Drosophila melanogaster: one gene and its partner. The protein of the gene in region 1 purifies or fractionates together with the protein of each later gene. This does not show direct contact. Each region holds a gene or a part of one and is shown on either strand. Other genes may lie near its edges.

What was found.
Region 2: the proteins of CG9123 (region 1) and CG4565 purify together in Drosophila melanogaster (affinity purification with mass spectrometry, with the first as the bait; one large-scale study listed by BioGRID). This does not show direct contact.

What each region holds. Positions count from the first base shown.
Region 1 is NC_004354.4:15,339,805-15,344,348, forward strand, and holds CG9123 (uncharacterized protein), read right to left. Parts: upstream 2,314-4,544; 5' UTR 2,177-2,313; coding exon 1,418-2,176; intron 1,359-1,417; coding exon 1,282-1,358; intron 1,188-1,281; coding exon 719-1,187; 3' UTR 569-718; downstream 1-568. Other genes in the region: HDAC6 (histone deacetylase 6), read left to right, coding at 1-211; CG12608 (uncharacterized protein), read right to left, coding at 3,203-3,698, 3,793-3,869, 3,929-4,544.
Region 2 is NT_033777.3:10,850,803-10,854,276, forward strand, and holds CG4565 (uncharacterized protein), read left to right. Parts: upstream 1-1,921; 5' UTR 1,922-1,939; coding exon 1,940-2,594; exon of another isoform or gene 2,595-2,649; coding exon 2,650-2,804; 3' UTR 2,805-2,842; downstream 2,843-3,474. Other genes in the region: CG42394 (uncharacterized protein), read left to right, coding at 483-681; CG6567 (uncharacterized protein), read right to left, coding at 2,852-3,474.

The DNA of each region.
Region 1 (4,544 bases):
GTGCTCCGCGTACGTGGACCATCCCCGCCTGTATGCCTACCTCAATCCGCTGCACGAGGACAAGTTCCAGGAACCGATGGCCTGGACACATGGGTGTGCGTGGCGCGAGGATGGCTGCTATGCGACGGGGCCCGATGGGCGAGATGAGGATGACGATGATGATAATGGCGCCGGTAGCAGCATTTGCCTGCGACTGGAGCGCAACAACTGACCCTTAGCCATCCGCGTGCTGGACGCCCTCACGGACTACTTGTGCGCGCTCTGCCCGCCACTAAGGCACCTAATCCATTTCCTGGCCGAGCACCTCTGGCCGCTGCTGGAGCGCATTTACCTTAACCTGTTGCACTACTTCCTGGCCCACTGAGCACCCCATATCCAATCCTCTAGCCCGCACCCACAACTGATCTGAAAACTGCTGCAACTGGCAGCCGGTCGGTCATCCCCTGGAGATCCTGGCACCAGTCACCATACCATTTATACAAATGCAAATTGTTAAAGTTATCAACTAATGATCTAATAAATAATTCAAGTGTTTTTTGAGTTTATTTTCGAATACAGTTTCTAGTTTCGTTAATGAGATCGAACTTCTTAAGTTCAGAGGTATTTATTCATAATTCTGTTCATCCCAGCCAAATCGACAGTTCATCCACGGTTTTATTTAATCTATATTTCTAGATTAACTCAATATTTGTTGAGTCATAACGTTGGCTACTAAAAATTACTTCTTTTTCTGCTGCTTTGCCTTCCCCTTAGAAGCTGGAGTGGGTTGCTGCTCGCGCTTCATTGGCTTCCTCTTCCGGTGGCCGTGATCACTGGAGACATCGCTGTCGCTGTCGGAGAAGTCGTCGTTCTCCTTGTCTTCCGATGAGTTGCTTTCTTCTGAGGATTCCTCGTCTTTCTTGTTCTTCTTCTTTTCCTTCTTCTTCTCGGCATCCAGTTTCTTATCCTGCTCGTACTCGATGGTCACGAATCCCCGAGGTGCTGCCGGCTTGGCACTTTGGTCAGACTCCACTTTCGCCTTTGGTTTCTCCTCCACTTTGGTGCGTTGTTCCACCGGTCGGACGTTGCCGAACTGGCGGAGATCCAGCAGGCCCAAGTCGGTGGGTCGGCAGTCCATGAAGCTGCGGGCAATCTCCTCCAGCTTGCGCGTTTCCATGTCGATCTTCCAGACTTTGATTTGACCAGCGCTGGAAAAGATAAATTTGTATATATAAAAACGAATAATGTGATGGGTGTTCTTAGTTATCTGGGTGTAGCTTGGATTTTTATAGAATAACTCACATGGAGACGGTGGCCAGGAATTCGTTCAGATAGGCGATGGCCTTGACCCTTACCTCGTGTGCAAGAATGAAGGTGGGCTGCAAAGAAAGCGCATTTAAGTATCATAGATAACAGGCTGAGAAAGTGCAATTCTTACTGGTGTATCATCCTCGTCCTTGAGGGAAATCCAGGCAATGTTGCCGTTGTCCAGGCCAGTTAAACACTCGTTCCCATCCAGCCAGGTGATGCAAATGGGTTTCGACGGCATCTCAATGCGACGCATAACATGGGCGTTCTCGATGCCCCAGATCTCCAGAACCAATGGACCGCTCAGTGTGAAGTGATCGCCCTGCTTGGACCACGACAAACAGCCCGTTTGGAAATCCAGCGTAGCCTTGTTCTTTAAATTGGTCTTGTGGGCGACGCAGCCATTGACCAGATTCCAGGTGTTCAGCACCTGGTCGCCGCCCAAAGATAAGGCCAACTTGCTGCTGGGATGGCAACTGACATGGGTGACGGCCTGGCCGGCATGGGCCTTCTGCCAATCATACTCTTTGGTCCAGCTGCCCACGCGTGTGGCGATCATATGGCCATCATCGCTCCCGGAGAGCAAGAGCGACAGGTCAGGCGTGAATTTCAGTGTGTTCACTCTTCCGGCGTGCGAGAGTATGATCTGCGACTGTTTCCGCGTGCGCATGTCGTAGACGAAGATCCTGCCGTCGGTACCGCCACTGGCCACCCAAGGCCACTGCACGGCCAGCGATGTAATGGATCTTGCATAGGAGCTGTCTGCAAAAGTCTGTTTCAGCTCGAATTTGACGGAATCGGTGAAGCCGTCAGTCGGCGATTTGATGAGCTTGAAGCCCAGCAGGAGCTCCTCGTTGGTGGCCTCTATGATCTCCATTTCCGGCGGCATGGCAGCGGTTTGAAATGAAAATGGAAATGGAAAATTAAATGGATTTGTCGAATAAGTCACTAAATTCTATTCAAGAATTTATTTCTGCTGTCAAAACGTGTTCCAGCGGCAAGGACTATTCGAAGTTAGAGGCGGAGAAACTTTTTACGCCAACATCGATGACATCGATGTTTTCGAAATATCAGAAACATCGATGTTTTTCTAGGAATGTTAAGAACAATTGCTGGAGGATGAAAAGGTTGTCACCAAATACTGCCTTTTTATTTAAAATATTAAAAAATAATCCTTAAATAAAAAAGATCAATGATCGAAAAAGATTAAAGATAAAAAAGATTGTTTATATTTTATAACAACATCTATGTTTTTCGCCAAAAACATCGAAACATATAAATAATTTGAAAAATGGTTTTATGTCTCATGTTATATATTCAATATCGTATTTACTATTTTATTTAAACGGGAAAGTTGTTTGAAATGCAAATAGTGAAATACCCTATAAATCTGAAAAAAATCAGGAAATACTTTACAGGAAGTGCTATTATTTTGACCAATTTGCTTAATGATTTATGTGCATTTAGTATCTTGTGTTTATTGAGTTTTTTGAAAAGTATTTTTATTGAATCCTTACTGAATTGAAATCCATGCGAAAATTACGTTTTAGCAATGTATCTTCGGGTTTTAACCAAAAATCTGCCGTGTGATTTGCTTTTATCTAACTTTATCTTAGTTCAAAACAGTAGAACATTTAATATATTACCAGCACCAGTCACCCTACCATTTACACAAATGCAAATTGTTTAACAATTTCAACTAATGATCTAATAATTAATTTAAGTGTTTTTTTTAGTTTTTTTTTTCAAAAACAGTTTCTAGTTTCGTTAATGAGATCGAACTTCTTAAGTTCAGAGGTATTTATTCATAATTCTGTTCATCCCAGCCAAATCGACAGTTCATCTATGGTTTTTTTATCTATATCTCTAGATTAACTCAATATTTATTGATAGTCATAACGTTAGCTACTAAAAACTACTTCTTTTTCTGCTGCTTTGCCTTCCCCTTGGAGGCTGGAGTGGGTTGCTGCTTGCGCTTCATTGGCTTCCTCTTCCGGTGGCCGTGATCACTGGAGACATCGCTGTCGCTGTCGGAGAAGTCGTCGCTCTCCTTTTCTTCCGATGAGTTGCTTTCTTCTGAGGATTCCTCGGCTTTCTGTTGCGCCTTCTTTGCCTGTATCTTGTTCTTCTTCCCCTTTCCCTTCTTCTTCTCGGCATCCAGATTCTTATCCTGCTCGTACTCGATGGTCACGAATCCCCGAGGTGCTGCAGGCTTGGCACTTTGGTCAGACTCCACTTTCGCCTTTGGTTTCTCCTCCACTTTAATGCGTTGTTCCACCGGTTGGACATTGCCGAACTGGCGGAGATCCAGCAGGCCCAAGTCGGTGGGTCGGCAGTCCATGAAGCTGCTGGCAATCTCCTCCAGCTTGCGCGTTTCCATGTCGATCTTCCAGACTTTGATTTCACCAGCGCTGGAAAAGATAAATTTGTATATATAAAAACGAATAATGTGATGGGTGTTCTTAGTTATCTGGGTGTAGCTTGGATTTTTATAGAATAACTCACCTGGAGACGGTGGCCAGTAATTCGTTCAGATAGGCGATGGCCTTGACCCTTGCCTCGTGTGCAAGAATGAAGGTGGGCTGCAAAGAAAGCGCATTTAAGTATCATAGATAACAGGCTGAGAAAGTGCAATTCTTACTGGTGTATCATCCTCGTCCTTGAGGGAAATCCAGGCAATGTTGCCGTTGTCCAGGCCAGTTAAACACTCGTTCCCATCCAGCCAGGTGATGCAAATGGGTTTCGCCGGCATCTCAATGCGACGCATAACATGAGCGTTCTCGATGCCCCAGATCTCCAGAACCAATGGACCGCTAAGTGTGAAGTGATCGCCCTGCTTGGACCACGACAAGCAGCCCGGTTGGAGACCCAGCGTAGCCTTGTTCTTTAAATTGGTCTTGTAGGCGACGCGGCCATTGACCAGATTCCAGGTGTTCAGCACCTGGTCGCCGCCCAAAGATAAGGCCAACTTGCTGCTGGGATGGCAACTGATGTGGGTGACGGCCTGTCCGGCATGGGCCTTCTGCCAATCACCCTCTTTGGTCCAGCTGCCCACGCGTGTGGCGATCATATGGCCATCGTCGCTCCCGGAGAGCAAGTGCGACAGGTCAGGTGTGAATTTCAGTGTGTTCACTCTTCCGGCGTGCGAGAGTATGATCTGCGACTGTTTCCGCGTGCGCATGTCGTAGACGAAGATCCTGTCGTCGGTACCGCCACTGGCCACCCAAGGCCACTGCACGGCCACCGATGTAATGGAT
Region 2 (3,474 bases), on another chromosome or scaffold:
GAAAAAATGTGGTCATGTCGAGCATTTCGTACTACTACTGTGTGACGCATTAGATTCCCTTTATGTACCATCTGGCACCAGAAAGTCCTGGCTCCATCGAGGCGCGACGGAATTATTCCTTAAATACATATACATATCTACCCTCAGGAATCTCCATATCCCGCCCCATTCGGTTTTAGCCAACAACCGGCAGCACGGCGCGCCGGTTTCGCATTTCCGTTGGAATGCCAGCTCTTGGCCCTCAAAACGTAGTTGTTAACTCACTGATAGGGTGGAAATTTATCTACTACTGTAATTTGGGGATGCATTTTTATTAGACAACTTTTCATGCGTAATTAATTTGAAAGTATTGCATCATTTCTATGAGAAAAGGACTTTGCCCCATCCTTTGGGGGTAATGCGAGTAGTTAAGTACATTATGATAACCAATAATAATAACTTATAACTTATTATAATAACTTATTTACTCTTAACATTTCCAGCTGCTGCAGTTGTGCAATTAGTGTGCTTGTTTCAATCATCAGTGGATTGCTGGTGGTCGGCATTGTGGTCGGATTGGCCGTCTACTTTCTTGTCTACTACGAACCGGAGGATGAGGTTACCAAGTTCACCAATAAATTAGCCGAAAGTGTACAGTCGGGATATGGCAAAATTAAGGATGTCATAAGCAAATTAAATTGAGCATGGTAAAAAGATAACAAATTGAACTAGAAGATTCATAGGCATTCAATAAACTAGAATTTCAGATTAGTACACAGCGAAAAATGTTCCACGCTTTGCATAATTCCATTCATCCAAATTAATTGCCACCAATTTACAGAAACGAACACCGCTGGAGCCTTTTAGAAGAGGATAATTGTTAAACTGTTTAATTATCAGTACAAATAAATATTACAACACCTTCTAAATAATATTGTGAATCTCCATCTAATGCAAAAGATGTTTTAACGCAAAAGATTTTATAAATAAATATTTATGATGTTCAGAGACAGATTATACTACTTTAAAAAATGAAATAAAAAAATGTTTTTAACATTAATATACCAATTCTATTCAATTTGGAAATATTTGGAAATAATATAATTAATGGGTATTTACATAAAAACTAACGTATTTTTCTTCACGTTTTTAATTATCAAGATTTTTGTTATGGCCTTGAAATTAAAAAAAATGTTTGCTTGAGGCGGAAATAAAGCTTCCAGAAAAAACAATTTTCAATATTTTTTGATGATTACGAACAACAGGAAGTGCTTCAAAAATTCCTAGAAACTAGAATCTGTCTTAAGCCAAAAATTGATAAATAACTAAATAAATAAATTGATATATAAATAACAAAAAAGTACCACGAAAATGGGAAAAAATAATTAATCACACTGGCATAAATACCCATTTTTTCTAATGTGCCAGTACCATGGCCTTGTAATGCGAAAGATGCCCCTCCGCCCAGCGTCCAATGCCCAATAAAATCGATATATTCAGAACCATTTCGAAGCCATCGACTCGATGAACTTCTACCAGGCTCCCATAAAGTTCAGACGTGCTGCCAATCGTTCGACAACTTCGATTGGATCCAAATCAGCCCCTTCATCGCTCCGAAATGGAAACCCAACTGGCTGGGGGAGGAGTGGGAAATCCACCACGGTGGAGCGGTGACAACTCACCATGCAGGGGAAATCTGAAATATGGGCGCTCATCACAAGGCAGATACTTTCTACAAAAAGTCTGGTAACGCTTACAGCAAAACGGTCGAACTGGAACTGCAAGGATATACAAATGTGTTGCATCATAAAAAATAAACAATTTTCTTCCGAATAAGGGAACATTTTTAAATTCAGAGTGTGACCGAGGCAATAAAGTGTAATATTCTTCAGAAAGCGCAACATCCATTAAATGGGGAATCAATTCTCGTACTAGAATGTAATGTAAACAAACTTTAAAAATGGACGAATCTGAAACAGCTCCGAATGACGACTATGAGCACCCAGATGGACTCGATTACATATTGGAATCTGTGTTGATGCCCAGCGATGGAAGTAAAGAATTCAAATTCTTGGCGGACGAGTACAATTCTGTTCTTTTGAACCCCTGTCACTGCAAAGGAGCCTGCGAAAACAGCGAAGTCTGTGCACATGGAGGCCAATATGAGTTCACAGAAGATGGCAGCGAATTAATTCTTCGGAATTCCGCAAATCCTGTCATTGAGTGCAATGACATGTGCAAATGCTGTAGAAACACGTGCTCCAATCGGCTTGTGTACTCAGGCCCGAGGAAACATTTGGAAATATTCGATTCGCCCGTGTACGGATCCAAAGGACTACGGACTACAGCGAAAATTACAAAAGGAGGATACATTTGCGAATATGCCGGAGAACTTTTAACGGTTCCCGAGGCAAGAAGCCGCTTGCATGATAATGAAAAACTAGGCCTGATGAACTATATCCTGGTGCTTAATGAATACACTAGCGACAAGAAGCAACAGGTGACCATCGTTGATCCATCAAGACGTGGAAACATCGGACGCTACCTGAACCACAGCTGCGAACCGAACTGTCATATAGCAGCTGTACGAATAGACTGTCCCATACCAAAAATAGGCAAGTTTTATTGCTAATTCTGATCCGACTTCTCTCGTCATGTGTAATTTTTTAGGTATTTTCGCAGCAAGGGATATTGCGGCCAAGGAGGAGTTATGCTTTCATTATGGCGGAGAAGGGCAGTATAAAAAGATGACAGGTGGAAAGACTTGCCTCTGTGGTGCTTCAAAATGCACGGGTTTCATGCCAAATACTGAAATAGAAGAATAAATAAATTACTATTAAAGTTTACCTAAGTATATGTAAGTACTTGCCACTCAGAGTTTGTTCTGTACTTGGTTTTCCAGCGGAGGTAGTTTTTCATAAATCCATTGCTGCAGATCCGTGATGGAGGCAGTTTTCAGTTCGTGCAGTGTGTTCCTCAATGGATGAAATGTGCCCTTGACACCCAGTTTCGTTAGGTTCTCGAAGGTTTCCAGACCCCAGTCCTTAGGTACCAGAGTATCGCGTTCCCCGTGATACATTCGCAGCTCGGGAAAAGATTCGTCTTTGCCGTTGGCCAGGGAATCATAGACAACGGAGCCGCGGTTCAGGAACGAGGAATGTGCGAATACGCCGGCCAAGCTGCGTCTCAAATGGTAGCCCGTGTGCAGAGCCAAGGCTCCGCCCATCGAGAATCCGCCCACAACGATCCTGTTCAGCGGTATGCCGCTGGCCACCTCCTCGTCGATCAGCTGATTGACCGCATCATAACACTGGGACATGCTCTTCTTGCTTTCCGATGCGGCAATGTTCACGGACTTGCGGTCAAACCACACGTTGGATAGTTCCCCGTCCAGCGGGGTGTACTTCTGTTTGGGAGCCGTGGGATATATTATCTTTATGTGCGGGTACTCCAGATTCCGGCCGATAAGGAAGCGCACCCATTCCAGAACATTGG